3 linked regions of the Mus musculus genome follow. The protein of the gene in region 3 interacts with the protein of the main gene of each other region in a pairwise test. Links are inferred from orthologs where the notes say so. Each region holds a gene or a part of one and is shown on either strand. Other genes may lie near its edges. The genes, in order: Cchcr1, Ttc23l and Mia2.

Evidence for each region.
Region 1: the proteins of Mia2 (region 3) and Cchcr1 interact in binary tests that used the Homo sapiens proteins (3 or more experiments, as listed by UniProt). The link is inferred for Mus musculus from reciprocal best matches to the Homo sapiens genes MIA2 and CCHCR1.
Region 2: the proteins of Mia2 (region 3) and Ttc23l interact in binary tests that used the Homo sapiens proteins (3 or more experiments, as listed by UniProt). The two-hybrid records come from large-scale screens. The link is inferred for Mus musculus from reciprocal best matches to the Homo sapiens genes MIA2 and TTC23L.

Annotation. Positions count from the first base shown.
Region 1 is NC_000083.6:35,520,996-35,531,140, reverse strand, and holds the end of Cchcr1 (coiled-coil alpha-helical rod protein 1), read right to left. Parts: coding exon 9,963-10,145; intron 6,696-9,962; coding exon 6,532-6,695; intron 6,443-6,531; coding exon 6,307-6,442; intron 6,165-6,306; coding exon 6,054-6,164; intron 5,882-6,053; coding exon 5,732-5,881; intron 4,762-5,731; coding exon 4,651-4,761; intron 4,533-4,650; coding exon 4,426-4,532; intron 3,073-4,425; coding exon 2,960-3,072; intron 2,800-2,959; coding exon 2,754-2,799; coding exon of another isoform or gene 2,750-2,753; exon of another isoform or gene 2,733-2,749; intron 2,602-2,732; coding exon 2,453-2,601; intron 2,364-2,452; coding exon 2,175-2,363; intron 2,097-2,174; coding exon 1,995-2,096; exon of another isoform or gene 994-1,994; coding exon 842-993; intron 740-841; coding exon of another isoform or gene 698-739; coding exon 583-697; intron 441-582; coding exon 307-440; 3' UTR 126-306; downstream 1-125. UniProt on the Homo sapiens protein: May be a regulator of keratinocyte proliferation or differentiation.
Region 2 is NC_000081.6:10,527,112-10,537,256, reverse strand, and holds part of Ttc23l (tetratricopeptide repeat protein 23-like), read left to right. Parts: intron 1-3,448; coding exon 3,449-3,626; intron 3,627-6,557; coding exon 6,558-6,666; coding exon of another isoform or gene 6,667-6,674; exon of another isoform or gene 6,675-6,845; intron 6,846-10,145.
Region 3 is NC_000078.6:59,094,672-59,104,816, forward strand, and holds the start of Mia2 (melanoma inhibitory activity protein 2 isoform 6 precursor), read left to right. Parts: upstream 1-919; 5' UTR 920-1,128; coding exon 1,129-1,243; intron 1,244-6,799; coding exon 6,800-6,933; intron 6,934-9,803; coding exon 9,804-9,890; intron 9,891-10,145. UniProt on the Homo sapiens protein: Plays a role in the transport of cargos that are too large to fit into COPII-coated vesicles and require specific mechanisms to be incorporated into membrane-bound carriers and exported from the endoplasmic reticulum.

The sequences.
Region 1 (10,145 bases), on a different chromosome or scaffold from region 3:
TCTCAGAACACTTCCAGGGCAGTTAGGAAAGAGATTTGGAAAGAGGCGCCCGAAGGGCAGGGGTAGGAGGACAAGCTTCTCACAGCCCCTGCCTCAGGAGCCGGCTCAGGGGAAATCGCAGTCTCTCAAACATCTCCAGGCAACACTATTGCCATCTTTATTCATTGCAGAGTTTGAATTTGGTAGAAGCTGGGGTTCCAAGGCTTGCTGGGGGGCAGGGCTAGGCTGGCCCCCACCCCATTTCCTCCGACCCAACCCTCCTGGGGGTCCAGCTTCAGGCTGGCTTCATTCTTCCCCCTGGCAGCTCTAGCTCAGCAGTGGATCTGAAGGAGGGTTCTTGGTTTTCTTGGTGTTCTGGTTATCTTCCACACAAATATCTTCATCTCTGGAAATGGCCTCGCTCAGGCCTTGCAGGTTATCAAGCAGGACGGTCAGGGAGCCTGATAGAAGAGACATCATGGGGTGCACACCGGGGTGAGAGCAGGCTGCATGTTGCCCAGGGCACGGGGCTGCACTGGCTAGGAGGCCCTGAGGGAGATTCCTGGGCACTGGCAGCACAGATTAAAGGCCAGTGTATTCTACCTTTCACAGATTCCTTGCACGAAGCAGCTGCCGGAGACTCAGAGGATGAGGACTCCACAGACCGGGGGCTGCACTTCTTATTCACTCCCGAGGGAAGCACTGCTAACAGGCGCTGCTGCTTGTAACAGAAGAGGAGACCCTCCTGCTTCAAGGTGGCCTGGGGAGGAGAGGGTGAGCCGGCCGGCCCAGGCCAGCCACCCGCCCCTGCACACCTTACTCACCCACCAGCTACCGTGACTAGCTCCCTGCTGTCCCCTACCAGCATCAGGTTCTTGTCCCTCTCCAGCTCCTGCACACGCCTCGTCAGCCGCTGACCCTCTTCCTTCCGGGCTTCATCCTGCAGGCGCCTGAGCTCCTGGTTGCGCTCCTTTTCCTGAGTGGCTTTGTGCTGGATCTGGCGCAAGGAAACCACTAAGGAGATGGGAGGGGGTTAGCCCAGAGCCCCAAAATGAGACTTGAGCTCTCAACTCTGTCTCTCAGGGACTCTTCCACACCACGGGTGGGCTGATGTCATGGGATCCTGAGCTCTCTGAGCCCTAAGTACTATCTCCATCCCTGATGCAAGCTCCTTAGGCAAGATGTGGACAGGGGCGCCGGAGTCACATCTCCTATAGTTAGTGCTCATGTGACCTGTTGATGTTGTTTTGAGACAGGTTTCCCTATGTTGTCCAGGCTAGCCCTAATCTATCCTGCCTCTTATTTTCAAGTGCTGGAGTGACAGGCAAGTGCCACCATGTGTGGCTAGGGCTCATGTTCTTACGACGCTAGGTATCACGATTAGATAATTTTCTGGCTGTGGGGTGTGCAGCTAAACCATCATGTCTGCTGCAACTTACACAACTCGAATGCCTACTCGTGTAACCATGGGAGCACAGGCGAGCCAGCAGGGGTGTTGACTGTGTTCTACTCAGGGAAGACATGGACATTCATCCTGCTCCTCTAACTCATCCAAGTGTTAAGTTTCTGGGGAGGGCAGTCGCCAGAAGTGGGGACACAGCAGTGGCGTCCGTTGAGGGGCAGTGATGCAGGCCTGGAGCCAGAGTTGTTCCTGATCCGGTGCTGGCTGCTGTGTGTTCACTGCATAAGAACTCATTCATGTCAGTCCTACGTTACTTCGCTACATACACTTGTCAACAAAAAGCTTCAAAAAAGGTAGGTGTGCCGGGTGTGGTGGCGCACGCCTTTAATCCCAGCACTCGGGAGGCAGAGGCAGGAGGATTTCTGAGTTCGAGGCCAGCCTGGTCTACAGAGTGAGTTCCAGGACAACCAGGAGAAACAGAGAAACCCTGTCTCGAAAACAAACAAACAAACAAACAAAAAAACAAAAACAAAAAAACCAAAAAAGGTAAGTGGGCTGGGGAGGGGTTACCAGCCCTGTGTCTCAGTGCTGCCTTCTTCCTGGCACATCTCACCAGCCTTGGCCTGCTCCCTTCGGGCCTCGTTCAGCCTCCTCTTTGTGTCTGAGAGCTGTTCCCGAAGCCGAGTTTCCACCTCGGCCACCTTCTCTTGCAGGGCTGCAGGTGAGGGTACGAGACAGTGTCAGGGAGAGCTGCCCATCCCACAGGGTCGCACACACCGCCACGCCCCCACACCTTGCCCGTAGATTTCCTGCTGCTGTGTCAGCTCCTGACGGAGGCTGGCAGCTTCCTCCGTGCTCTCCTGCTGGCCCCGACGTGCTGCCTCCAACTGCTGCCCAACGCTGGCCAGGGATTCCTGGGCACGCTGCAGCTCCTGCTCCAGCTGCTGGGCCACCTCTATCAACCGTCGGCGCTCGACCTCCCCTAAAAGGAAACCGTGGTCACACAAGACCTCTTGCTGGCACCTGAGCCTCAGATGGTAGAGAGTCTCCTCCAGCCCCACGCAGGCATACCTTGCTCCCGTGCCCGGCCCACCTCCTGCTGGATCAGGTGGGCACTCAGCTGCAGCTCTGCATCCAGGCGGTTCCGTTCTTCCCGTAGCTGTTCCAGCTCAACGCTCAGGTCTGTGTCCAGTGGGGGTGCGGCTTCCGATGGGGGAGAGCTGGGATAGCAATGACAAGAGTCAGAGAAAATTCCCCCAGCAGCTACCTGCTTGGTGCCTCCACCCCTCCTTGGTCCCTCTGGGTCCTAGCAGCCAATAGATTGCCCCCAACATCCATACCCCCCCTTTACCTCAACTAGTCTGGACTTTACCTCTCCACGCGCAACTGAGCAAGAGCCACCTTTCGAGCCATCAAACCTGAGAAGAGAGGACAGGGAGATGAGTATACATGGACAGAGGGTGGTGGGAGCACAGGACTGAGTGGCAGTTACCAAGGCAACAGAGGATAAATGTGAGGTTAGATCCAGGGCTAAGAGCAAGAGGGCCAGGCCGGAAACCCCACAGTTGCTCTACGTACCCTTAATGGTGTGGACCTTCCGGACAGCATAGCTGAGTCGGTTGCTGAGGCTGGGAATCCGGGCTACAGCCTGATCCATCCTGGTCATGGTGCTTTGGAGTTTGGCCTGAGTGCTGAAGAAGATGTAGGCTGCTCACTGTCCTCCCTCCCCTCATCCCTTCAAGACCTGCAGGGTCTGATGCAGAGGACACATCTGTCCTGAAGGCCCTGCAGGGTCTGGTGCAGAGGACACATCTGTCCTGTCCTGTTACATGAGCGGGGAGGTGGGTTGTTAAGTAGCAAGCAAAGGAGAAACGGAAGTCACCAGGAGAGGCAGTGCCTTGGCAGACCCTGCAGGTTAGTCAAGCTCCTTAGCAAACCTAAAGAGAATCTAAGTGCTTAAGCTTGGTAACTGTCAGGTTAAAAACATCCAGCTGAAAATGAACTCCTGCCACAAAACCTACAGTGTCTAATTTGGTCCCTTACAGTCTTTTTGTATGGGTGGAAGAGGATGGGAGACGATTAGGGTTAAGACAGGGTGGCTAGAACTTCACCATCATGCTTGGCCTGCAATGTATATAATAACCTGCAGTGAGGAACCATTAAAGTCCATGGGCTCAACTCCTACCTGGATCTACATTCTGTAGCCCAGGAAAGGGCTCAGCAACAATTCTACAACAGCGGGTACCAGAGGCTGACTAAACTCTGAGACCTGTACCTGTAGGCTACCACTCAGGCTCCGGGCACTTGGGACCTGACACTATCTGCCTCACCTGGGGCATACGGTGTTCAGAGCCTAGAAGGGCTTTCTGGTGACTTTTATTAAAAACCATGTCTGTGACCTGGCAGAAGGTAAAACCCATGCACCACACCCCAACGCCCTCCTGGAGGCAGGCACCCCATATACAACACTCCAACACCCTCCTGGAGGCAGGCACCCCATACACCATACCCCAACATCCTGCTGGAGGCAGGTACCCCATAAGCAACACCCCAACACCCTCCTGGAGGCAGGCACATGCAGTGCTTTGAATCTTCCAAACTAGTTGGTTCTTCCAAACTAGTCTGACTCTGTGCAAGTTAAAAAGTTTCATCTTTTTATTCTGGTGCCAGGGATTGAAAGCAGAGATACCTGAATGCTAGGCAAGCGCTCTACTACTGAGCTACAGACCAGACCAGCTGTACAATTAGGGTGCCTCCCCCAGCCAGACCAGGCGAGTGTGCAAAGGAAGGAAGGAGGAAGAGAGGGAGGAAGGACTGCACATGGCTCCAGTTCCCATCCCTGAGCTCTGAAGCCACAGCCCCGCCTAGCTGTCCTACTTAGCTTCAGAGCGCACTAGACTGAAGTGCAGGAAGCAGGATCCTCTGCTGTGGCCCAACCACAGCTCAGTTCACTGCGGGTGATGCTGGTGTGATACAGAGGTGACACCCCTCCACCCTGCACCCTCCTGCCCCTCTTCCCCGAGGCTCTTCCAGGCAACAGATACCTGTTCATAGCACCGACCACGAACTTCAACTGCTCTTCAGCAGAGGCTATCTGCTGTTCCTGCCTCCGCCTGGCCTCCTGAGCCTGATCCAGCTCCATCTGCAGGCTCTGGGAAGGATGCAGCTTTGTGTGTACTTTTTCTTGTAGACCTCCCTCCCTGGCACGTGGCCCACACACCCGGGCTAGGGTCTTCTTCACCCTCCTCCCTTAGGGAGCACCCTCAGACCTTGGTGCTCATCCGCTCCACCTCCACCTGTGCAGTTTTGTCTTGCAGGGCACGCTGCAAGATGGCCTGCTCCTGGCTTTGGGAGGTCACTTGCTCCTGGAGCTCTGCTACCTACGGAAGCAGAAGGAGCTAAGCAAGGAAATGGAGAGCCAAAGCTATGGGAACACGGGTGGGAGGGGAATGAAGGAGACAGGGCGGGAGTCTCCGGAGTCGGGCTGCAGAGACGGCCCAGTGGCTAAGAACGCTGGTTGTTCCTGCAGAGTTCCATTCCCCTTTCCCACATGATAGCTCATAACCATCTGTAACTCCAGTTCTCGGAGAGCAAACACCTTCTGACTTCCGTGGGCACATGGTACACATACATACACGCAGGCAAAACATTTATACACACAAAACAAAATAAGCACACCTTTTATTTCTTTCTAAGACAGGGTTTCACTATGTAGCCCTGGCTGTCCTGGAACTGACTATGTAGACCAGGCTGGCCACAGATTCAGAGATCCTCCTGCCTCGGCCTCTGCCTCCTAAGTGCTGGAATTGAAGTGTATCACCACACCCAACTAAATTAATAAGTACTAAAAAAACAAAAAGAAAATAAAAAACCCGGTGTGGTGGGGCGTGTCTTTAATTCCAGCATGAGGGAGAGACAGGCAATCACTTATAGGTCAGAACAGTCTACAGAGTGAGTTCCAGGGCAGCCACAGAACATAGAAACTCTGTCTTGAACCTTCTCTCCGACTCAGGATGCACAAGCCCACACTTTGGGAAACCCTCCTGACCCAAGCCTTCCCCTGACCGTGCCCGTGGCCATGCCCTGGTGGACGTTGTGGCCTCAGAGGCCGTCCCTGACCATCCTATCCATCCACCTCAGTCTGTCACCACTGCTTTTCCGCAGCACTTATGACAATGTGACGCCTACCCATCTTTTTACGTATCCTTCTAGAACTCAAGCTCCGTGAGAACGGGGACTCCTCGGCTCGGGGCTCTGTGCCCTGCACGTGGCAGTCACCCCGAGACTAACTGTCATCACTGTGAGAGACACGGGGTGCGGGATGACAGTGACAGAGACGCAGCCCCTGACCTGGATCCTCAGCTGCGACGTGGAGTCCCTGTGCTGCAGGTCCTGGGCTTTGAGCTGCACCATGAGGGCAAATACCTTCTCCCGCCAGTTGCGCAGCAGCGAGCGGCACTTCTTAGGAAACTCGGGTTCCAAGGGATCTAAAGGCTGAATCTGTACGGGGGAAGAAGGGAGATGGATGTTCTAAGAAAGTGGGGACCTTTGTCCTGCCTGTCCTGCCGTCCACAGTGAGGAGTTTAGGGGTCTTGGTGGCATACCACCCACTACCCCCAGAAAGGGAAGGCCTGCAGCAGGGCAGGGTCTGGAAGATGAGGGAGGGTCCTACCTTCCTGGTCAGCTCCTCTTCCTGCAGGGCGAGCATGTGTGTGAGGCTCTGTACTCGTACCTGCAGTAACTCCACGGTGGCCTGAAGGTCAGCCCGATCCTCCTTCAAGTGCTGGGAGAAGGAACTCCACCAGTCAGGATCTCCATGCTACCTCAGGCTGTGAGCCGTCTCAAGGGCAGCATGGCTTCCCCTCTAGGGCACTGTGCTCTCTCCTCCCAGGTCATGCCCTGATCCCTGGAGTCTTTTCTCTCACCTTCAAGGTGTCTAGAAGCTCCTTTCGTTCCAGCTCCCATTCCTGGCTAGGAAACTCAGGAAGAACTTGTTCCCCCACATACTTCCTCAGACTCTCCACCAAGGTCACCTGAGCTTCCAGCTCTTCTTGGGTCTTGCTAAGATTGAAACAGAAATGGACCAGTCCTCGGTAGAACAGCCTGGCAATGCCGCACCCCTCACTAACAGCCCTGCGCAGCCCACTGACCTCAGCTGGTTCCTGAGCATGTCCGCCTCCTTCTGGGCCATAGCCAGCTGCTTGGCTTCCCCTGCCCGTTTCGTTTCCAGGCTATTCAGAGACTTCTCCAAGCCCTCGGCCTTGCTGGCCAGACTGTCGAGAGCCTTCTGGTGAGCCTGTGTCAGGGAGGACAGCTGTGGAGGAGGAGCATGCTCAGAGAGGGCCAGCCTGAGGGGCTGGAGAGCTCAGCAGGGCAGACCCAAGCTCAGTTCCCAGCACCCAACGCGCAGTTCAGAGGATCCAATGTCCTCTTCTGGCCTCTGAGGCCCTCACACATGTGGTATACACTCACTGACACAACACACACTCACAAGCATAAATAAATCTTCAGGGGGCAGGGCGGCTCACCCCACCTTGGGGCCTTGTCTCTCAGAGAGCCATCTAACTGATCATGCTGCTGTAAGCAATGGAGGAAATCTTGGCCTCTGGTTCTCCACAGTTAGTTTTAAACATCAGCTCCTGCCAGTTCACTTCCCGGTCTCTCCGTGTTCATGCTAACAGCGAGAGTAAAGGACCCCACCTCATGCCTGAGTCTTTCAGGCTGTAGAGACTTGAGTTAGGAGCCCCAAAACCTTTGTGAAAAACCTAGACAGGCCAGCATACACCTGTAATCACCCCTGCTCTGTGGGATGGAAGGAGACACGGGCAGATCCCTGAAGCTCCTGGTCTGGCCTACATGATAAAGTTGCGGGTCAATAAAAGACCCTGTCAGTCTGGCATGGTGGCGCACACCTTTAATCCCAGCACTTTTTTGTTGTTGTTGTTGTTGTTTTGAGACAGGGTTTCTCTGTGTAGCCCTGGCTGTCCTGGAACTCACTTTGTAGATCAGGCTGGCCTGGAACTCAGAAATCCATCTGCCTTTGCCTCCCGAGTGCTGGGATTAAAGTTATGTGCCACCATTGGGAGACAGAGGCAGGCAAATTTCTGAGTTCGAGGCCAGCCTGGTCTACAGAGTGAGTCCCAGGACAGCCAGGGCTACACAGAAAAACCCTGTCTCGAAAAACCAAAAATAAATAAATAAATTAATTAATTAATTAATTAATTTAAAAAAAGACCTTGTCTTGAGTGAAAGGAGCTTGAGACCCACACCCGAGTTTGTCCTCTGACCCCCACACATGTGCCAGGCACCCTCACACCCTCACCCACAGACCCACGCCTGAATGTACACACACTCCTCAGTGCATGGTGGGAACAAATGTCTTCAACCCCACGTGCTGGCTCCTCTTTGGTCAATCTGACATGAGCTGGAGTTATTTGAGAAGGGTAACTCAGTTGAGAAAATGCATCCATTAGATCATGCATCCATTAGATCATCCTGTAGGCAAGCCTATGAGATATTCTCTCTGATGCGTGATTGATTTGCAAGGACCCCGGCCCACAGTAGGATGGTACCACCCCTAGATAGGTGGTCCTGAGTTACATAGGAAAGCAGGCTGACCAAGCCATGAGGAGCAAGCCAGTGAGCAGGGCCCCTCCATGGCCTCAGCTTCCCTCAATGGACTAGGAGCAGGGTGAGATAAGCCAGAAGCCCTTCCCTTCCTTCCCAAAGTTGCTTTCTGTCAGTGCTTTATCAGAGCAATAGAATTCTAGTACTTGGGAGGCTGAGTTGGGAGAACTTCCTCAAGCTCAAGGCCAGCCAGGGCTACAGATCAAGACCCTACCTTAATAGCCCTCTACCCACAGAAAACAGATTTGCTACACCCACAAAGCCTACTGCAGGAACAGCACACTTGCCGAGCTCTCTCCTGTGGCTCTCCCTGCTCAGGCGCTGTTCAACCCTCAGGGAGACCCCTCATCTGCCCTTTCCCTGCTGGCAGCTTTCTGAGCTCTAGCAGCAGGTCGGACCCTACTTCTGTGTGATCATGAGGATGCTCTGGGGAGGGAGGGTCTTTCTCACTAGACCCCAAACAGCGCCAGGGGCAGCAGAGCAGATGGAGCTGTGGAGCCAATGGTAAGGGGCATGCCCTGCTTCCTCCTACAGGGTAGGTCAGCCCTGCCAGCCCTGTCTCCATTACCAGTATCAAGTTTGCAAAGTCGAGCACAGGTGTTTTTAGACGTACAAACCTGACTCTGTTATTGCCCTGTTTTTGTTTTGTTTTTTCTGAAGCTTGGTGTGGTGTCGCACACCTTTGATCCCAACACGTGGGAGGCAGAAGCAAGAGCCAGGGCCAGCCAGACAACAAAAACCTTTCCTTTTCTGGGGACACGGGGGGGGGGGGGCTGTACCTGTAGCCTTGCGCAGAGAGCAGGCAGGCACTCTGCCGCTGAGCTACAGCCTCAGTTACTTAGAACCTGCCAATGGCTATCTGACTTTTTTTTTTTTTTTTAAGAATTATTTATTTTGCCGGGTGTGGTGGCGCACACCTTTAATCCCAGCACTTGGGAGGCAGAGACAGGCGGATTTCTGAGTTCGAGGCCAGCCTGGTCTACAGAGTGAGTTCCAGGACAGCCAGGGCTACACAAAGAAACCCTGTCTCGAAAAACCAAAAAACAAAAAAAGAATTATTTATTTTATATATATGAATACACTGTAGCTGTCTTTAGAAATACCAGAAAAGGGCATCGGATCCCATTACAGATGGTTGTGAGCCACCATGTGGTTCAGGACCTCTGGAAGAGCAGCCAGTGCTCTTAACCACTGAGCCATCTCTCCAGCATCTTTTGACATTCCAGCAGTCTATCTCACTCACAATGTCTGTCTAGAGTCGACTTCTGAATATGGTACCACTAATAGAGGTTATCGAACATCAGAGTAGGGCGCTTGCTTAGTCAAGCGACAGATTCAGAGAGCCTTCCTACGGGTAACTCACAGGCAGCAAGGCTGTCCCTGCTCCAATATTACGAAGAAGATACTCTCATCTTTAAAGCCTCTCTTCCTGAGCGCTCCACCAGCCTGGGGTGGCCCTCTCTGTCCCTAGACTATGCTTCAGCACTTTCCCAGTTGCAACTGGCTATAGCTGCATTAAGTGTGTCCCATGCAGGCAGGCTATGGGCGCCATTCATGAGAGCAGACTCAGACAACTTGAATCCCTAGCCAGATCCTACCTCAAAGACGGCAAAGAGAAGCACTGGGTAGCCTGACTGAAAAAAATCTACCTTTCCCAGTGTTCCCTGGGACCCATACCACTGCCCCATCCTACCCCGACCCCAATCCTTCCCTCCACCACGTTCCCAGAAGGGTACCTGGCACAGAATATGGAGAAATACTACTTCTGAGGGTATTGAAGGTTACGAGCTCACTGACTCCCAAGTAACAGGTGCAGCCTGAGGGAAACCAAAATACCCAAGTATTTTGGGGGGCTTCCCCCACCTCCACGGGTCTGCTGCTCCCGAGGCTCCTTGCAATTTACTGGACGGCGTGCCCTGATATGCTTCTAAGCCCCTCCCACCCCCGTGTTCACCTGCTCTTGGTGCAGGCTCTGAATCTCCTCCAGCTCCTTGTGCTTCGCCTCTTCCAGGTTCTTCCGAACCATTTCAGCTCCGGCCAAGGCGGTGCGCAGGCCCTCGGCCTCAGCTTGGCCGGCCTTCTCTGCCACTGCCAGAGCATCCAGCTCCACGGCCTGAGTCTCCAACCTCATCTTCTG
Region 2 (10,145 bases), on a different chromosome or scaffold from region 3:
CTCTCAACCTACATGTCAGATATAAACATTATAATTCATAAGAGTAACAAAATTACAGTTAAGAAGTAGCAATGTGCTGGGTGGTGGCGGCGCACACCTTTAATCCCAGCACTTGGGAGGCAGAGACAGGCAGATTTCTGAGTTTGAGGCCAGCCTGGTCTACAGTGAGTTCCAGGACAACCAGAGCTACACAGAGAAACCCTGTCTCATAAAAACAAAAAAAAGAAGGAGGAGGAGGAGGAGGAGGAGGAGGAGGAGGAGGAGGAGGAGGAGGAGGAGAAGGAGAAAGAGAAAGAAGAAGGAAGAAGAAGGGGGAGGAGGAGGAGGAGGAGGAGGAGGAGGAGGAGGAGGAAGAAGAAGAAGAAGAAGAAGAAGAAGAAGAAGAAGAAGAAGAAGAAGAAGAAGAAGAAAGAAAGAAAGAAAGAAAGAAAGAAAGAAAGAAAGAAAGAAAGAAAGAAAGAAAGAAAGAAAGAAAGAAAGAAAGAAAGGAAAGGAAGGAAGAAAGAAAGAAAGAAAGAAAGACAGCTGAGAACCACTGGTTTAAGGTAACTTAACTTTTACATATTAGATCTAAGGTCTGAACACACACACACACACACACACACACTCACACACACACTCACACACACACTCACACTCACACACACACTCACACTCACACAACACACTCACACACATACACACACACACACACACACACACACACACACACACTACATTACTTTGAGATTGATTATTTTTCTCAGTGGCCTCTAACTTTTACCATCAAATGTGGCATCCTAACAGGTAAGAAATGAACACTTAAGATATTTAATTGGAAATTATCAGAGCAATGTACATGTGTGCATTTTTTTAAGGAAAGTTGTGTTCTGTGTAGAAACAAAGTTCACAGGATTTGTTCGAGCCAGAACAAGACTTAAAACTGTTTTGAGTTAAGGATCCTCTGAGAATCGAGTATTAGAAAGGAAAGTGGGCCCATCAGATTAGCAGGAAAAAGAAATAAGGAGAGTTTACTGTTCCCCAGATTTTTCAAATATCTTCTCAACCTTGAAAGAAATCTCTTTCCAAAAACTCTAAGTACTTGGCACGGTAGGGCAGATGACCGAATGGTAAGTAAATGAAACCCAGGTGTCACATCTGCCTCCTAGAACACATGAATCTCAAAGGCAAGTGGGACACGGTGGGGACATGGTGGAATGTTCTCAACAAAATCAGACTGTTGACAAGTCCACAGGGCCATAGTTAGAATCTGGTGGATGTCTCCTGCTGTCACAGAGGGCCGCGCTTGAAGGCTTCTGCCCTCTGTGAAACGAAGCTGTGTTTCCTTTTCACAACCAGTCCTCGAGTGTGCTTTGCCTATTCACACCACAAGCTTTGAGTATCAGTTCATGTACATACTAAGTGTTACAATGCCTTCTAGGTTCTTATCACACACCACACCCTGTTCTGAGTGCTTTGAAACTGTATCCCATTCGGTTCTTGCTAAAACCTATAAGCCTGGTCTACAGAGTGAGTTCCAGGACAGCCAGGGCTACACAGAGAAACCCTGACTCAAAAAACCAAAAAAAAAAAAAAAAAAAAAAAAAAGCCCAACAACAACAAAAAAAGAATAGGCATTCTGAATATTTTTATTTTACAGAGAAGAAAACGGGGCACAGAAATACATACTAACTGAGGTGAGAGAGCAAGTTGAAGTGCTTGGCTTCTCACCGAGACGTCTGAATTCATAGGTCATTCTCTGCACCTTGCTGTTGTGTTTGATATGGATCAAATAGATAATAAAGACAAATACCTCGAAATGCCTTTTCCCACTGAAGGGTGGAGGCAATAAGGCGAGATTGTTCAGGCCAAACAGCTTCCTAACATCTCTCTCATAGCTCTTGGTGGGAGCCTCCCATTCTTAATGTCTAAAGAGTAAGGGAAACACCTTTGGTCAAAAGAAAACTTGTCTGCTTGATCGAAGAAATGACTGTGACAAAGAATGGTCAAACAGACAGAGAGCCTGCCACTGCTCTTTGTCACTCACTCTCATGTTCAGAAGAAGATAAGTCGTCCAGAAATGGCTGGTTCATAGGCCTCTTGCTCTCTTCAGGTGCAAATCACAAATATGCAACCCCGAGTCCTTTTTTTTTTTTTTTTAATTGGGGTAAGATCTCAACTCTGTTGCCTAGGATGCCCTCAAATTTACAATAATCCTCCTGCTCCTGCCTCATGAGTGCTGGAAATACAGGTGTGGGCCATCATATTTAGCCCAGAGTTTTGGGGGTTTACAAACCCAAAGGCTTTAAGCTGTAACAGCTAGTCTCATGGCTTTAGAAGCCAGTAGTTGGTAGCTCTAGATGCTCAGGCAGAGTCATACTGCTTTAGGTTTTGAGTTCCGTCAACCTTCAGCAGACAGTAGTTCATCTCCTGAGCCTCAGGTGCTAGGAACCTCACTCAGCCTTCAACACTGATGGCTCTCTAGCTCCCCTTTGTGATCAGGCTTGAAGGTCTTACCGTCCGTCCGTTTGCAGAGCCTCGTGACCTCTACAGCCTTAGCTCTCCATTTCCTAACCTAGGCTGTGCTCTCTGGAACTCTTCAGACACCTTTTTTTTTTTTTTTCCTTTTCTTTCTTTCTTTCTCCCTTTCTTTCTCCCTTTCTCTCTTTCTTTCTTTCTTTCTTTCTTTCTTTCTTTCTTTCTTTCTTTCTTTCTTTTTTTGGCTGATAGGTAGTCTCAGGCTGAGTATTACAGGGTCTTAGTGTCTTCTATTGTGATAAAGAGAACAGCTGGGTAATAAGAGACAATTCTGGAGAAGTCTCTATTGGGGCCTAATTTTGCAGGCCAGGATAAGCCCCAGAGAGAAGCCTCCAGCCTGACCTGAAAAAAAAAAAAAAGTAAAAAAAATTGTCTGCTTATGAGCCAGAAGAGGTGCTTAGCATGCTTGTACATGGCTTCTAATTCCATAGTCGCAGCCTGACACGTATACTTGCTAGTTCTGCCAGTCATGAGTCTCCCATGTAAACCTATCACGCGTGTTAAATATGTCTGCACTGTTAGACTCAGCAGCCTGTCAGGCACAAGCTTTCTGCTTGTCACTGGGGCTGGCACTTCACCCTACCTGCAATGAAGACTGTTCTTAACATGACAAGATCCACGGTCTACGCTTATGGGTAAATTATCCCGTCTTAGGAATTTCTGAGTGACATTTTCCCCCATGTGCGTTTCGATAGAAATTATACAAGAATAAACCACATCCATGGGTTAAGCCAATGATGGTAGTCTGTGGGATCTCGTGGGCAAAATTCAGGATAATGGGAGCTTATTTATAGCAAGCCTGGATCTTGAGCCAGTTGTCCAGATGACTGGGCTATGAAGACAAATTCTTTACTTCCTGGAATTAATTCCGTATGTGTCCGCAGAGTGGGTGACCTCTGAGTAACTTCCACCTTCGATTCTTTTCTCGCAGAGCCTCCTTGGCTATGCACAGGATGAACCTAGCCCTGGCGTACTTTGAGAAGGCAATCTGCGATGTTATCCTTGACAAGGGTCACAACACGTCAGAGCTGATTAGTTTGTACGAAGAAATCGCTCAGATCGAGCAGCTGAGGAAGAACCACAAACAGGCCATCCAGTACTTGCAGCAGGTTGGTTCGTTGGCAGGGTGGTCTTGATTGGCTCCGTTGGTTCTTTGGCAGGGTGGTCTTGATTGGCTCCGTTGGTTCTTTGGCAGGGTGGTCTTGTTTGGCTCCGTTGGTTCTTTGGCAGGGTGGTCTTGATTGGCTCCGTTGGTTCTTTGGCAGGGTGGTCTTGTTTGGCTCCAGGTCCTGTTGCTTCTCAGAACAGGGCATTGAGGTGGATCCCTTATTTTAACCCTAACATCTTAAGGGGGCAGAATCAGTTTCATGTTTACCTTAATTCTTTTTCAGTCCCATACAACAGCCTCCAACCTAAAAGTCCTGAGCAGAGGCCTCCAACTCTACAGAACATATATGTACTGTGAGCTGAGCAGGACATACCACATCCCTTCCTAGGCCTTTCGTCTTTGTTAGTGCTGGGAGGAAACCAAGCTTAAGTCTATCCCAAGGGGGAAAGAAAACACAGAGGCGCTGGACTCCAAGAAGACAAAAAGGGCAGACTGGTGAGAGAGTTCAGAGGTGTTTGACATGGAAGTCTGGTGACCAAAGTTTAATCCCGGGAACCCATGTGAAAGCAAAATAGGACAGTAGGTTCCACAGAGCAGCCCTCTGGCCTCCACAGGAGTCTGTACATGCGGATTTGCCCCCCCCACACACACACAGAGAGAGAGAGAGAGAGAGAGAGAGAGAGAGAGGGAGAGAGAGAGAGAGAGAGAGAGAGAATAATAGTAATAATAATAAATAAAATATTTTTTAAAACAACAGGGGTCTTTTAATTGAAAACCCATGATAGTTTGTTACAATGTGTCAGTTGCCCTTTAAGGTCATTGCAGATGGGTTTTATTTCCAAGTCTAAGGTTAAGGTCACAACACTTGGAGATAACTAACTGACAAATACTCAAACCAAAACATAGGCCTTACGATATGAAAACCATTTAAGGGCCTGGAGAGATGGTTAATGGTTAAGAGCATTGACTGCTCTTTCAGAGGTCCTAAGTTCAATTCCCAGGAACCACATGGTGGCTCACAACCATCTGTAATGGAACCCAATGCCCTCTTCTGGTGTGTCTGAAAACAGCTACAGTATACTCATATAAAACAAACAAACAAACAAATAAAAATCTTTTTAAAAAAGAAAAAGAAAAATGACTGGTTCCCTATTTAAAAAAGAAAAGAAAACCATTTAAGGCATTTCCATTTAAAATGCACTTTAAAATGTTAGTAAATTCATCTCTCTCTGCTGGATAAAAGGCTGCAGTGCTGCTGGGAGCCTCAGAGATCCTCACATGCGGGATTTGGTGCCCCAGAAAAGTAGTAGCACTGTCCCGCAGTCTATGTGAAAAGCCAGCTAGCAAAGCAGAGATGTGGCAAACAATTTGACAAGCCAAGATTATGAACACCAGGCAATGGGGAGAAACATTGGTACAGTGGTTCTCAGCCTTCCTAATGTTGTGACCCTTTAATACAGTTCCTCATGTTGTTGTGACCCCCCCCCCAACTATAAGATTGTTTCATTACTACTTCATAACTGTAATTTTGCTACTGTTATGAATCATAATGTAAATATCTCACATGTGGAATATCTGATATACAACCCCTGTGAAAGGGTCGTTCATGACCCGTAGTTTGAAAAGCATTGCATTAGAGCATTCTACCCTCCCTGGTGCCGGAGTCACTGCCTATGGAGAAAGACATGCACTTTGAATTTGAGGATCTCTTAAAAGTGTGGCCAAATTAGAATGAAGAAAGGAATCAACATAAATGTTTACAGCCACACCCAAAAAAGGAATTAAAAATTTATATAAAATGTTTTAACTATGTGCACCCAAGTATGTATTTCTTTTAATCCACAAGCAAAGACATCAAAAAAAATAGGCATCGTTGTGTAATCTCATTTTTATGGATCAAAAAAGTAAAGCGCAGAGGTAGAACTAACTCCACTGAAGTTATATGGCTAACAAGAGGCAAAGTGGAGACTTGGACTCAGAAAATCTGACCCAGGAGATTTTGTTAAAGAAGCAGTGTGCACACAATGTGCAGCATCCCGGCTCCGTAGCAGGTGGAGTGATAACAGCCCCTCTGTCTCCTTGAGATAAGCATGGGTTTGGCCAGTGAACTGCTATGCATGGGTGGCTCTTTCCTTGCTGCTGGCTGTGAGTCTGCTGTTTCCACTCTTCTGTCTTTCTAAGTGGCAGTCCTTGCCATTTAAATACGGATAAGATGAACAATACCACTAGCAATTATTATCTTACACTAATGGCTACTGAATGCCAGGTGGTATTGTAAGCACTTTACATCTGTTAATAAATTTAACATGTACAGCAACTGTTCATGACAAATATTGTTTCCATCATCTTTTTCTCCTATATTTGAAGAAGTTAAAGGACCACCCTGTATCATGATAAGTGGCTAAGCAGGCCTGGAGCTCTTAGCCCCTCCGTTTTTTGACTGTCTTTGACCCTGAACCCTTGTGATGCTGAGCTAAGGTCACAGTTACCTTCTGCTGGAGACCAAGTGGAATTAATGGGGCTGAGATTTACTAGCCACATGATAGACAGCGCCCAGCATTTACATAAGGTGCCTCCTTTAATGTTTCATGAGCCCTAATCACTAAGAAGCATACATTCCATCTGCATGAGAAGGTGAAGTGACTTTTTCAAGAACCATAGTAGGAAGTGACAGAGCTGGAACTCACAGTCCACTCTCATCCAAGTCCATGTTTAGCTGAGTTGGCTCCCAGTCAGCTAGCAAGTCTTACAGCTGCTGAAAAGGGCAGTGAAAGATTGTCACTGGGCATTGAGCTTGTCATGATTTCCAGACTGTCACTGAGTATTAATCTTGTCATGGTTTTCAGACTGTTGGGTACTGAGCTTGTCGTCATGGTTTCCCGACTGTCACTGGGTATTGAGTGTGTCGTGTTTGTTTTTTTTTTCTCCCCAGGCCTATTCTATCTGTGTTTCTTCGTTTTCTGAAGTCAGCCCCCAAACTGCTGAGGCGAGTGCTTTACTAGCGAAAGCGTATGCCATGTCTGGAGCATCCGAGTACAGGGGTAGGTAGAGGAGGTGGTATTGGCTTTATCGTCTTGTCCCAGTGACATGTGAGAAGCAAGCTGACAAACGATCTTCATATAAGTAAGAGCTTGCAGACAGCCACTCTCAATGGAAAGATAAAGCTGGTCACGATCCTGTGCAAAATCAGTTCCATAATTACACGTGATGATACACCTGATAACGTCTTCTGGAATTAACTGAGCACCAGAGCCAACGATTTCCTGTATTCCCTTACAGTGTCCACCACATTCACCTAAGCTGTAAAGATCACACGCGCTGTAAGCATGGCTTGCCGAAAGGCTCAGTAGTGAGGTGGCGTTGACTCCTCTCCCCCTGCTCTCAGCCTTGACTCCTTCCTTCCACCCTTACAAGAGAGAAGGATGGACCAACAAGAATTTCCTCGTCCTGAATTCACAGAGAATGTACTAGGATTTTTAGAGGGAAGCTAGGGATTTAATGGCTTCTCTGTCCAGTGAGGTTGTGGGTGTGGAACTGGAGAGACAGCTGAACTTGTGAGGTTCCACAGTGTGGCCTGGGCAGCCCAATGGCCATGGGAATGTGTGGTTAAAGGAACTCTGCTCTCTCTTGTCTCCAGAGAGGAATGTGGGCTTTGTGGAGAATGTGAAACGTTCCATGCCTTTCCCTTCTGCTTATGAAAGGGACCCACGCCGACGCGTGCTACTTTACAGTTGGAGAAAGGGCGAGGAGGCAGAGAGAGCCAGAACTGCAGAGGAAGTCTGCATGATGGTCTTCTCCTTTTGTTTTCCTCTGCTACTAAAAAAAAATTTGTTTTAAAGTTTGGTATTTTATTTTCTCAACACTGAATGATCATTGAAGACTTTCTGAGTTGGAGTTTTCCAACTAATACTTCTCTCCTTTTAAGATTTATGTATACTCAGTAGTGGGCCCATTCCACGTATAACAGATTTTCACAATTTGCAATGATAAGAAATCAGATATATTTGTAACTGTGAAATATTTAGCTTTTTATGTGAGAAAACTTCAATTCTAAGACAACTTACATTTTTCTCAATAATTTTAAGTACAACATGAATATTTATTTATTTTCCCTCTGTGTGTTTGCATGCTCACACTAGTGCAAAGGCATGCTTGCATGCATGATTGCACATGTGAATGCCATGGTACACATGTGAAAATCATAGGACAACTTGAAGGAATCAGTCCTTTTTTTTTATCATTTGAGACCTGGGGGTTGAACTCAGTTCACTGGGCTTAAAAGCAAGCTCCTTTGCCACTGAGCCATCTTGCCAGCCTCCTTACATACTTATTTTTAATATTAAAAATAAATGATGTAAAAATGTACATTGGAGAAAAACCAGTCTTTTCAAAATAAAGTGCTAGAAAAACTGGATTAGCTCACATGAAAGCTTGGGACGAAATCCCTATCTCTTCTTCTGTAAGAAAACTAACTCCAAACCCTTTATCCTTTGATCACTAAATACCTTTATAAAAGACAAAACTTTCAAACTGATAGAGGTCTAAGTAGGGAAAACACTTCAGGATACTAGCATAGTGAGCACTTTTGGAGTGTGCCTCCATTCACTCAGGTAACAACATCAACAAATGGCAAATGAGATTTCATCACACTGAAACACTGCAGAGGAAAGGAAAAGATTGAAGAGGCACCTGTCTTTGCTAGCTCTGCAACACATGGGATTAATATCTAGAATATAAAAGGAACTGAAAAAAAAAAAAGACAAAACCCAACCAACTCAATCCTAAATGAAATGCTAAGCCAAGAAGCAGGTCTTGAGCAATGAATACAGATTACAGAACGTGTTGGCTTCGTGGCAGTGAGCAGAGCTACCTTCCAACTGGCTGATAAACATGAAATAAGGTTCAACATCAGTAGCAGTCGGAGATGTGCACACAGAGCTGAATTGAGATTCCCTCACCCCAGTCAGAAGTTACGTGAAAGCAGGCTTTCTTTAAACCCCAGTAAAGCCAGAAAAGTTTTAAAATGTATATCTTCAAGCTTTATAAGTAAGTAAATTAAACTCCGGCTAGATTAAAACTTTAATCCTCCAAAAGTAAAAAGTTTCATGGATAAATATTAGTTCTAGAATAGAAAGAATTAAAACGAATTAAAATGAAACTCCAAGAAAGGGCTTTCTAAGTACATGTACACAACAAAAGAAGCTGAGAATTTTAATTACAAAAAGGTCTAAAACTCTATCAGGCAAACAGACAAGAACAGATGCTGGCAAGGATGTAGACAGTACTGGTAGAGATGGAAATAGAGAGACGTGCATGTGGGTGTTTATGCCAGTGCTATTCCTAATAGCTAAGTTATGAAACAGTCTAGGTGTCCATTGACAATAGAACGTTTTCAGCCATAAAAAAGAATGAAGCTATGTGCAGAATACTAGATATGACCAGAGGTCATCATCTTATGTGAATTGAGTCAGTATCAGAAAGACAAGTTTTATGTATTTTCTCCTATAGACTCATAAAATACGTACATAGTTTGTGAATGTAGAAACAAAAGTGTCTAAGAAAACAAAGGGGACTGTGGGGAGGGTACAGGACTCAATGGGGAGAGAGAGAGCCAGACGCATTAGCTACAGGTCTCATTGCTGTGACAAAATACCCAACAGCAGAGACTGGAGGAAGAGCTTGTTTGGGTGCACCGTTTCGGTTGAGTGTGTTCCATCCTAGCAGAGAATGTGTGGTGTCCTAGGGCAGGAACAGGAGGCATCTGGTGTCCACTGCATCTGTAGTCAGGAAGCAGGGAGCTGGTGAATGCCTGTCCTCAGCTCTCCTTCTTTTAATCTATCCTGGACCCCAGGCCATAGAGTGACACTGGCCGTGTTTAGAGCAGGCCTACTCATTGCAACTAGCCTGGGTTAGATGATTCCTCACAGGTGTGCCCAGAGGTTTGTTTCCATGGTGATCCATAGGCAGGTGGGAAGGATATGCTCAAAGAACATTACAGACTTGCACGAGAGAAGTCTTATTTAACCCAGTACAAGAAAATTTTTTAAAAAGTTTAAAAATTGTATATTTGAGTTTTTATTACTAAATTAGACTTCAGTTAGATCAAAATTTTATGCAGCAAAACTGAAAATAAAAATTAGCCATGAGAAAAGGCAGTAGAATAGAAAGAACTAAAAGCTAAACTTTGGAAGGGTTTTCTAAGCATATCAAAAGGTATAATATGAAAGAAGAGATTAAAATTTTAATTTAAAAAATGATCTAAAACTATGTCTGTCACAAAGTCCTGTACACAGAATATAGAACTCACGCAGGATGAACAAGTATATGCATATGAATTTAAAATACATTCATAGTTATCCCTCCCAAGAAAGAAATCTTTAGGTGCAGACAATATCACTGTAGAAGTCTACCTAACATTTAAAGAAAGAATAATACCAAGTCTCTATCATGTCCGTAACATACAGGAGGGATGGTGAGGTGACTTGTCAGATAAAGGTGCTTGCCACCAAGCCTGATGCCT
Region 3 (10,145 bases):
CACAGCACCTACGTTTAGATTTATTCTTCACTCACTTCATGATATTGGATAGCTTAGCCTGTGTCTACTGTGGCTTATGTGCAAATATTAAGGTGATAATGTCACCGGTCCCAGAGAGCTGGTGTAAAGTTGAGATCACATCAAGAACTACTCACATTATCTAGGCACTTCAAATAATATGTGGATCATAGTAATAGTTATTATGTTTTAACTATTATTCTAACTGTGACTTCATAACAACACTGAAGATTTTTTAACATACCCAAAGGAATAGCTTTTCTGATAATTTCATCATATTTCAAAATCATACTTTTGACATAAATTGATAATGCTTTTTATATAACTATACATCTTCTTTTTAATGTCACAGGTATGGCAATTGTTTCTGGTTAATGTATTTGAAGTTTTTTCCCCCAAAAACAATAAATTCATTTTTGATTATGCGTTTAACTTTTAAAATTACATTTATCATTTACACATATACCCTTTCTGTCAGTCGGTGTGAGTGTGTGTGTGTGTGTGTGTGTGTGTGTGTGTGTGTGTGTGTGTGTGAATGAGTGTAGATCAGACTGCCACTTCTGGAATCAAGTCTGTCCTTTTACCAAGTGGGTCCTGGGTAATATTAAACTCAGGTTATCAGGCTTCATGATAAGAGTACTTATTAACTGAGCTATTTTCTGGCTCTATACCTTCTCTTTTGAAGGTAGAACCTGCATGTAGTAAATATTTGGTTTGTACTCATTGACTCATCTGCCTGAAGACTGTGGCAGAGATTGAGGTACCTTCTTTGGAGGCTTAAGAACCGTCAGACCGAGCACAGGGTGCCTTTAAGTGAGTCAGTTTCACATGGGCTACTTTATAACACATTGGTCCGGCTAAAACCCCTGTTAATTATTAAGCCCTTCGGTATCATCCGGCTACCTGACTCTGCAGACTGAGACCAGAGAGTGTTAATTTCTGAAGCTGGGCCAGCGCCCCATCGGGAAAATGTAGCTACGAAGGGATTGAAGAATACACAGCTTTTTCCTCTTGCGCTACGGAAGGGAGCGTCGCATGGGCTGTTTTTCTGGCATGCCTGCCGCCTAACATTCTAACGCTTGTCCAGGATCCTTGGTGGCTTGTTTAGGCATGGCGGAAGTCAGTGTTCAAAGAATCCTTCTTTTGGTTGTTTCTCTGGCCAAGTGTCTGGAGGGTACAAAGTTGCTGGCACACCTTAAGAAGTGTGGTGACTTGGAATGTGAAAGTAAGTTCGCTTTTCTTATTCTCTCTTACACTGAGTTCTAAAATCACATTAAATCTCACGGTGAACTTGTGGGGCAAAAAGTCAATGTTAGTAGTATTGATGGCTATTTGAATTATAAAGTATAGCTTCAGGCGAAAAAGGGAATTCTAGAAGCAAAGCATTTTGTGGCAGCATAATTATAAATTTTACACATTTAATAAATTTAATAATTTATATGTTAACATAAGCATAAAGACAAAAATTACACTGATAGAACTATGGTAGAGATAGTATTAATTCGTGTGTCAAAAACTAAATAACCAGCTTTTTAGCCATTTTTGTTTTGTTTTGTTTTGTTTTGTTTTGTTTTGTTTTGTTTTAAAGATAATTGAGTTGTTTGGAAAGCCATCGGGCAGTTTGTTAACTCACTGTCGATGAAGCTCATATGGGTTAGTTTCTATTTCACAATCAGAACTTTCCGATTCTCATGAGTTTCCCCCAAAATGTTTTTACTTCAAACCATCATTTTGAAAACTGTTTAGATGTCCAAATTTTATCAAATGCTAATCATTTGTGTCAGTTTATTATGTAAAAATGCTAAAATAAGTGTTTCAATGTGTGTGTATGATGTATAACATTTAATATGAAACTTTCTTAAGTCTCTATGAAGAGACATTAATTTCTACTTTGTTTATTTTTATTTTATATATATGGGTATTTTGCATGTATGTATATATATATATATATATATATATACACACACATACATACATATACATACACCACATATGTGCCTAGTGCTCATAGAACCCAGAAGAGGGCATTGGATTCCCTGGAACTTGAATTACAGACAGTTACGAGCTTCCACATAGTGCTGGGAACTGAACGTGGGTCTGCAAGAGGATTAGAGGCTCTTAACCACTTCGTCATGTCCCCAGCCCCAAGAACTTAATTTTTTGGTATCTACATAACTGCAAAATAATTTTATTCTGCCAAGTATAATGGCACCAGGAGGCAGAAGTAGGCAGAGCTCTAGTTCCAGGCCAGCTTGATCTACACAATGAGTTCTTTGTCTCAAAAGGACAACAGGAAAAAAGATATCCTCATCTTAGAGTTCCTGAAAAAATTCCTATCTTTTCAAGATGAAAATTATGTCTAATTTTGCAAAATGTAAATTAAAATGCAATATGTGACACAAAAATGTCTAAGACATGCAAGTATATTTAATGATTTATTTACCTCTGTTTTGTGTGTATTAGTGTATGCCTCCACGCATGTAAAGGCATTGGGTGTGTGCCTGGTGCCCCAGAGGCCAGAGAGCATTCTGACTAGACTAGACTAGAGCCACAAATGACAATGAGTCACAATGTGGGTGCTGGGAATTGGATGCAGGTCCTCTAGAGGAGCAGCCAGTGTTCCCATCTGCTGAGTCACTTCTCCAGCCCCAGGAATTTTTGTTTTGTTTTGTTTTTGTTTTTTGTTTTTTTGTTTGTTTGTTTTGTTTTCGAGACAGGGTTTCTCTGTGTAGCCCTGGCTGTCCTGGAACTCACTCTGTAGACCAGGCTGGCCTCGAACTCAGAAATCCACTTGCCTCTGCCTCACAAGTGCTGGGATTAAAGGCATGTGTCACCACTGCCCAGCAGAAATATTTTTATAAGTAAAAACCATGTGCGTTTATCTTTCCTTCCTTCCTTCCTTCCTTCCTTACTTCCTTCCTTCCTTCCTTCCTTCCTCCCTCCCTCCCTCCCTCCCTCCCTTCCTTCCTTCCTTCCTTCCTTCTTTCCTTCCTTCCTCCCTTCCTCCCTCCCTCCCTCCCTCCCTTCCTCCCTTCCTCCCTTCCTCCCTCCCTCCTCCCCCCTTCCTTCCTTTCTTTCTTTAACTGTCCCTCTGTAAACCAGGCTGGCCTTCATCTCATAGAGATCAACCTGCCCCTGGCTCCCGTGCTGGGATTAAAGGCATATACCAGAGTATGCTCTGCCAACTACATGGTATTTTATAGCAAAGATCCTTTAATTTTCCCTCTAATACTGCTTTTTATATTTTAATAGTATTTTTTTTTACTCATTCTTTGGTCATTTCATACATTGAAATGTGCTTTGATCATGTCTTTCTATATCCCACTTCCAACCTGCAGGTCGTACAGCATCTTCTCTCCTAATTCATAGATTTAAAAAGATTTTTTAAAAAGTTATTTTAAAAAATGTATTCATTTTATTTTATATGTGAGTGTTCTCCCTCCCCGCCTCCCCCCAGTTTCTTTGTGCAACCCTGCTGTCCTTGAACTCACTCTATAAACCAGGCTGGCCTTGAACTCAGAGATCTGCCTGCTTCTGCCTCCCAAGTGCTGTTATATTTGAGTATTTTGTCTGCATGTATGTCTGCATGCCATGTGCATGCTTGGTGCTGGCAGAGGCCAGAAGAGGGCATTTTGGAAGCCCCTGGAATTAGAGTTTCAGATAGTTTTGAAGTACTGTGTGAGTGTGGAGAAAAATGATTCTCCCCCGTTGGGAGCCATGAATTCAGTAGCTCCTCCGATAGCTGTGGTGGCTGTGAGCCCCCTCCCTGCTCTGTGCTGGAATGTCAATGGCTTGAGCTTGTAGACGTCTTTGGTAGGCAACCACAGCTTCTGTGAGTCTGTAAGCCTGTCATGGTCCAGAAGACATCGTTTCTAAAAATACCAAATATGACTAGTTTAAATGTAAACATTTCACAAGTGCTATTTTTTATGAGTAATCATTTTTTCTTAACCTTTCAGAAAAGTCATTCAGTGTATTGAGAATTTGTTACCATGGTACTTTGCTTTCCCACTTTGCGTTATTATCAGCACTTTAATAGCCTTAGAGTCCAACAGAAATTCAGATTTGGAGTAACTTACAATGCAATTTTGACTCTTATTCAAGGATTTAATCAGTATGATTTTATGTTTTACACATTAGCACTATAATATTTATATGATATGCATGTTACTTTAGGCATCAAAGGCTAAATCAATCATACATAGTTTACTCAGTTACTGAGGGCCTACAATGTCTCTAGGGGTATGTGTTCTAACACAATGTATTTTATTTTATTATTTTTTTAAAAAGATTTATTTATTTATTTATTATATGTAAGTGCACTGTAGCTGTCTTCAGACGCACCAGAAGAGGGCATCAGATCTCATTACAGATGGTTGTGAGCCACCATGTGGTTACTGGGATTTGAACTCAGGACCTTCGGAAGAACAGTCGGTGCCCTTACCCATTGAGCCATCTCACCAGCCCAGTCTATTTTATTACTTTTAAAATACTTTGTGGGGGCTGGTTCACTGTAGCTGAAGACAGCTACAGTGTACTTATATTAATAATAAATAAATCTTTAAAAAATAAAGTAATAAAGTGAAATGAAAGCAGTTTCTTTTTCTGTAGGAATAGTCATCTTATTTAATAACAACAAAACAAATCAAGGAGGAAGAAGGTGATGAAATTGTAATAATGACAGATAATGCCAGAGTTCAGACTAGACAGGAAGCAACACATGAGTTAAACATGAAGAGAGGAAGAATAGAAATAGAAGCTTAGGATAAGGACCATGATGTTGCAGAAAAAAAAAAAAATCTCAGGGCAGAGCTAGGCAACCAGAGCTGTATGACCCACCCTTTGAACCTCAACTAAAGACTCAATCGTTAGAATGAAGTGGGGTGATTTACCCTATAGATATGCATTGAGGATTCAACAGAATATAAATATAATTTGGAAACAGAAAGAAAGCCAGAGTCTCCTACACACCCAAGAACAGTAGTGACTTACTCCGAGAACAAGAGATTTGCAAGCTGGAGTGTGTTCCAGCCTTGAATCTGTGCAAAGGAGAGGTTGCTTAAAATAGGGAAGGACAGGGCCTTCAGAGAGAGGGACCTGCCTTTAAGAGTGCTTACTGCTTTTTCAGAGGGTCTAGGTTCAGTTCCCAGTACCCACAGGGCAGCTAACAACCACGAGTTCCAGAGGATCTACTACCCTCTCTGGACTTAATGGGCACCAGGCTGACATACAGTGCACATACATACACGCAAGCAAATCACTCAAATACATAAAGTAAAAATAATATAAAAACATCTTCGAAATGTAAAATAAAATAAAGGGAGAGCCTGTGAGAGGAGTCAGAGGGTACAGGCACTTGCTGCCAAACCTGACAACCTGAGTTTGATAACCAGGACTCACAGGACAGAAGGTGAGAACTGACTCCCAAAAGTTAGTTGTACTCTGAAATGTGTACTACATGTACACACACACACACACACACACACACACACACACACACAAATTTAAACTTAAAAATTAGGTAAGTGGGGCTGGAAGATGGCTCAGCAGTTAAGAGCACTGACTGGGCCGGGCATGGTGGCACATGCCTGCACTCGGGAGGCACAGGCAGGCGGATTTCTGAGTTCGAGGCCAGCCTGGTCTACAAAGTGAGTTCTAGGACAGCTAGGACTATACAGGGCTATCTGTAATGGGATCCTATGCTCTCTTCTGGTGTGTCTGAAGACAGCAACAGTGTAGTCACGTACATGAAATAAATAAAAAGATCTCTAAAACAATAGGTAAGTGGGCTCAGGTTATGAATAATCTTCATATGCCAAAAACATTTGGGCTTGAATTTGTATATAGTATAAAGTATATTTTAGTTTTCCTTCCTTCCTTTCTTTCTTTTTTGTTTTTGTTTGTTTTTTAAAGATTTATTTATTTATTATATTTACATATATAAGTAAGTACACTGTAGCTGTCCTCAGATACTCCAGAAGAGGGCATCAGATTTCATTACGGATGGTTGTGAGCCACCATGTGGTTGCTGGGATTTGAACTCAGGACCTTCAGAAGAGCAGTTGGCGCTCTTAACCACTGAGCCATCTCACCAGCCCCAGATTTATTTATTATTATATCTAAGTACACTGTAGCTGTCTTCAGATGTACCAAAAGAGGGCGTCAGATCTCATTACAGGTGGTTGTGAGCCCCATGTGGTTGCTGGTATTTGAACTCAGGACCTTCAGAATAGCAGTTGGTGAGCCATCTCTCCAGCCTGTGTTGTTTGTTTTTTGAGACAGAGTTTTTCTGTGTAGTCCTGGCTGTCCTGGAACTCACTCTATAGACCAGGCTGGTCTTGAGCTCAGAAATTTGCCTGCCTCTGCCTCCCAAGTGCTGGGATTAAAGGTGTATGCCACCAATGCCTGGCCTATATTAGTTTTTGAGAACATAACCAATATTGACAAACGAGGATTTCAAACTATTATTATTAATATTATTGAAATATATCAAACTCCTGACATTCTCCTCATCTTCATGAGTGCTGGTGACTACAAGTGTGAGCCATCAGGCCCACCTCTTACTTCAAAACTTAAAGGATGGATTGAAGGAAAGCAAAATGGATGGAGAAGTCAAATATTATGGTGGTATATATCTATAATCTCAGCAGCAGGAGAAGCTGAAGCAGGAAGATTTTAAGGTTATGTTCAGCCTGGGATACATAGCAAGACTTACTATCAATAAGTAAACGAGAAGCAGTGACATTTTAAAGTGTGAGCTTTCCTGTATGTGTCTATACAGCTTTGATCAGCCGAGTCTTAGCCCTGAGAGATTACACAGGACCCGACTGTCGGTACCTGAACTTCACTACGGGAGAAGAGATATCTGTTTATGTTAAACTTGGAGGAGACAGAGAAGATTTGTGGGCAGGAAGCGTAAGTATTTAGTTTTAAGAACTAAACGCAGAATAAATGTCCAACGCAGACAAGGATACGTGCTGTTAAAGGAACTCTTATTTAACAACTTCAACTCATCATATTTAAGCAAACAAAAAAAGTGATCACATGCATGCCTTTAATCCAAGCCCTCAGGGTGTCTGAGCACAAAGCCAGCCTGATCTACATAGCACGTTACAGACATTTAGTGATTGCTCGACAATTTCTATAGAAGAGGTTTTTGACCCTGAGATGAGGACTAAAGGAGGGCCTTGCAATTATTTTTTACACAACCCACATAATTTTCAGCGTAGAGGACATTATTATTTAGAAGGCATGCTGACAAATGTTATGGCAACCTCAGCATCTCTGTGCTATTAGTGACTGAGTTTGAGAGAGACTGGGAAGGTGTTTTATCAGATTCCAAAGCATGTCTGCCTGAACAGAGAGAGGGCTGAGGTGTGTTGGACAGACACGTCAGCAGAAAGGTTGGTACGGTAGGGAAGAGAGGTGTATAAACTTTTCATGGAAAATAAAATATTAACTGGTTGATCCTTTTATTTGGCCAAAGTAAAAGAAGCCCAAACTATCTCTTGGGATAATAATTCATGTTTTCAGTTGAAAAGATTTATATCTCTGGTGTGTACTATGCTTTGTAACGATGGCATGCTTTGATAGATGAGTTTACTTCCAAGCTGATAGACTCTCACATCGTTCTCATGCTGTGTGTACATCAGGATCTTCCATAGTGTAGCCTCTGTGCTCACTGTCTGAATGAACAGCTTCGTTTTTGAGACAGTTTCACATAGCTCAGGTCATTGTTAAACTCCCAATGTCTGTAGCCGAGGATGAGTCTGAATGTCTCTCTTAGTCAGGGTTTCTATTCCTGGACAAAACATTATGACCACGAAGCAAATTGGGGAGGAAAGGGGTTTATTCAGCTTACATTTCCACATTGCTGTTCATCACTGAAAGAAGTCAGGACTGGAACTCAAGCAGGTCAGGAAGCAGGAGCTGATGCAGAGGCCATGGAGGGGTGTTCTTTACTGGCTTGCTTCTCCTGGCTTGCTCAGCCTGCTCTCTTAAAGAACCAAGACTACCAGCCCAGAGATGGCACCACCCACAAGGGGACCTCCTCCTTGATCACTAATTGAGAAAATGCCTTACAGCTGGATCTCATGGAGGCATTTCCCCAACTGAAGCTCCTTTCTCTGCGATAACTCCAGCTTGTGTCAAGTTGACACAAAATTAGCCGGTACAATGCCCCATCCTCCTGAGTGTTGATGTCGCTGGCATACAACAGTACCCATCTGAAGGCACACACTGCATTTGAAACTGTCCTCTTCCCACCAGGGGATGTGTAACTAAACCTTTCCCATGCCAGATTTGACTTCTCCTTATTGCTTATGATGGTTTTAAAATACCGGTCTCTGTTTTGAATGCATCACAGAAATCTGACACAGGTATAAGAAAATGACAGAGTATATGTCATGAGAAACAAAGAAAACAATTTTGATTTATTTGTTTACTAAGTATGAAAATAATAATTCTACACAAAACAGTGTTTAATGGATAAAGTCTTGGGGAAAGTCTCAGCTGCCATTAGCATTTGGTACCTTAAGTGATTAGTCTATTTGCTTCTCTGCTTTTTGTCTAAGCAGAAATAGAGATGGTTAGTCTGTGCTCGTAACTGTTGAAGAACTCACACTGTGGACTCATAGACTATTTCCAAATAGTTGTAAATGAAGACTAACTGGAGAGCTAGAAAAATCATATTTAATATGTGATGGTGTTGGCTCAGAAGACAGAAAATGTTTGTGAAACTTTAATAGGAATAAGAAGGAGGGGCTCTGAGTGGTTGGATGCTGACCTCACTCACAGGGGGGAGGGGGGACATCCTACATGTGCTTGAACTGGGTCAAGAGAATCTGTTACTAGGTTAGCCCAGAAAAGCCAAAAGGAACTGCATGCTCTCTTGGGGACACATGGACCTTAACTACCTTGAGAAATCTATCTGCCACTTCCGGGAGTCTAAATTCCTTTCTTGAATGTGACATCTTGACACCTCAGAGTTTGCAATCGTTCTGTCTTCCTGAATTGTCACCTGAGTTGTTCCTTTTTGATATCTCACATCTAAACATGTAAATCTGCATAACCTAGGCAAGGAAGGTCCTAGAGCACGGGGGTGAGGGTGGGGGATGGGCTGGAACAGTGGTCCAGCGGTGAAGAGCATGTGCTACACTGCCAGAAGACCTGGTTCCCAGTAACCACATGACAGTTCACAACTGTCTGTCATTCCAGGTCTAGGCCATCTGACAGTTTCTTCAGGTCTCCACAGGCACTACAGAAAAAACACCCATACACATAAAATAGAAATATATAAATCTTGCCAGACAGTGGTGGCACACACCTTTAATCCCAGCACTTGGGAGGCAGAGACAGGCAGATCTCTGTGAGTATTGATGCCAGTCAGGTCTACACAGTGAGTTTCAGGACAGCCAAGGCTATAAACAGAAACCTTGTCTTGAAATACACACACACACACACACACACACACACACACACACACACACACACACACGAGAATAACAGGAGTATATAACACAACAATGGGGCCTCACTCCTGTTCTTGTTATTGTTGTAGGTTTAGTTTGTCACCGGGGCATGAACCCAGAACCTAAGCAAGAACTCTATCACCTAACTATATCCCCAGTCTCCACTCATGATTTTTAGATGGCATTTTTGATAGCCAATTAATGTTTTGTGATTTAATATAGCTAAAAGCCAAGGTCACAGGACAAAATGAGGCCCAATAGCTATTCTTGCCTCATTCACTTTTCTCTTAAAATCTTTGTTCTTTGTTTTGATAGAAAGGAAAAGACTTTGGATTTTTTCCCAGAGATGCAGTCGAGATTGAAGAGGTGTTCATATCTGAAGAAGTCGAAATGCCAACTAAAGTGAGTAAATTCATTTTCAGCAATTTAGTTGAGTTTAAAAGTTCTTGACAAAAAAATGGTTTCCTTGATATAAATGTTCACTGGTTGTGTACCTCACTCAGTGAACCACAAAGGACAGTTATTAAGAGCTTGTCCTTGGCATCGTTTGGGTATGTGAATACAATGAGATAAAACAGACTTGATGACCATTAAAGACTTTCCTTTCAGAACAAGTAACAGGCAAAAGAGTACAGTGGTTAAAAGTGTGAATTCTGG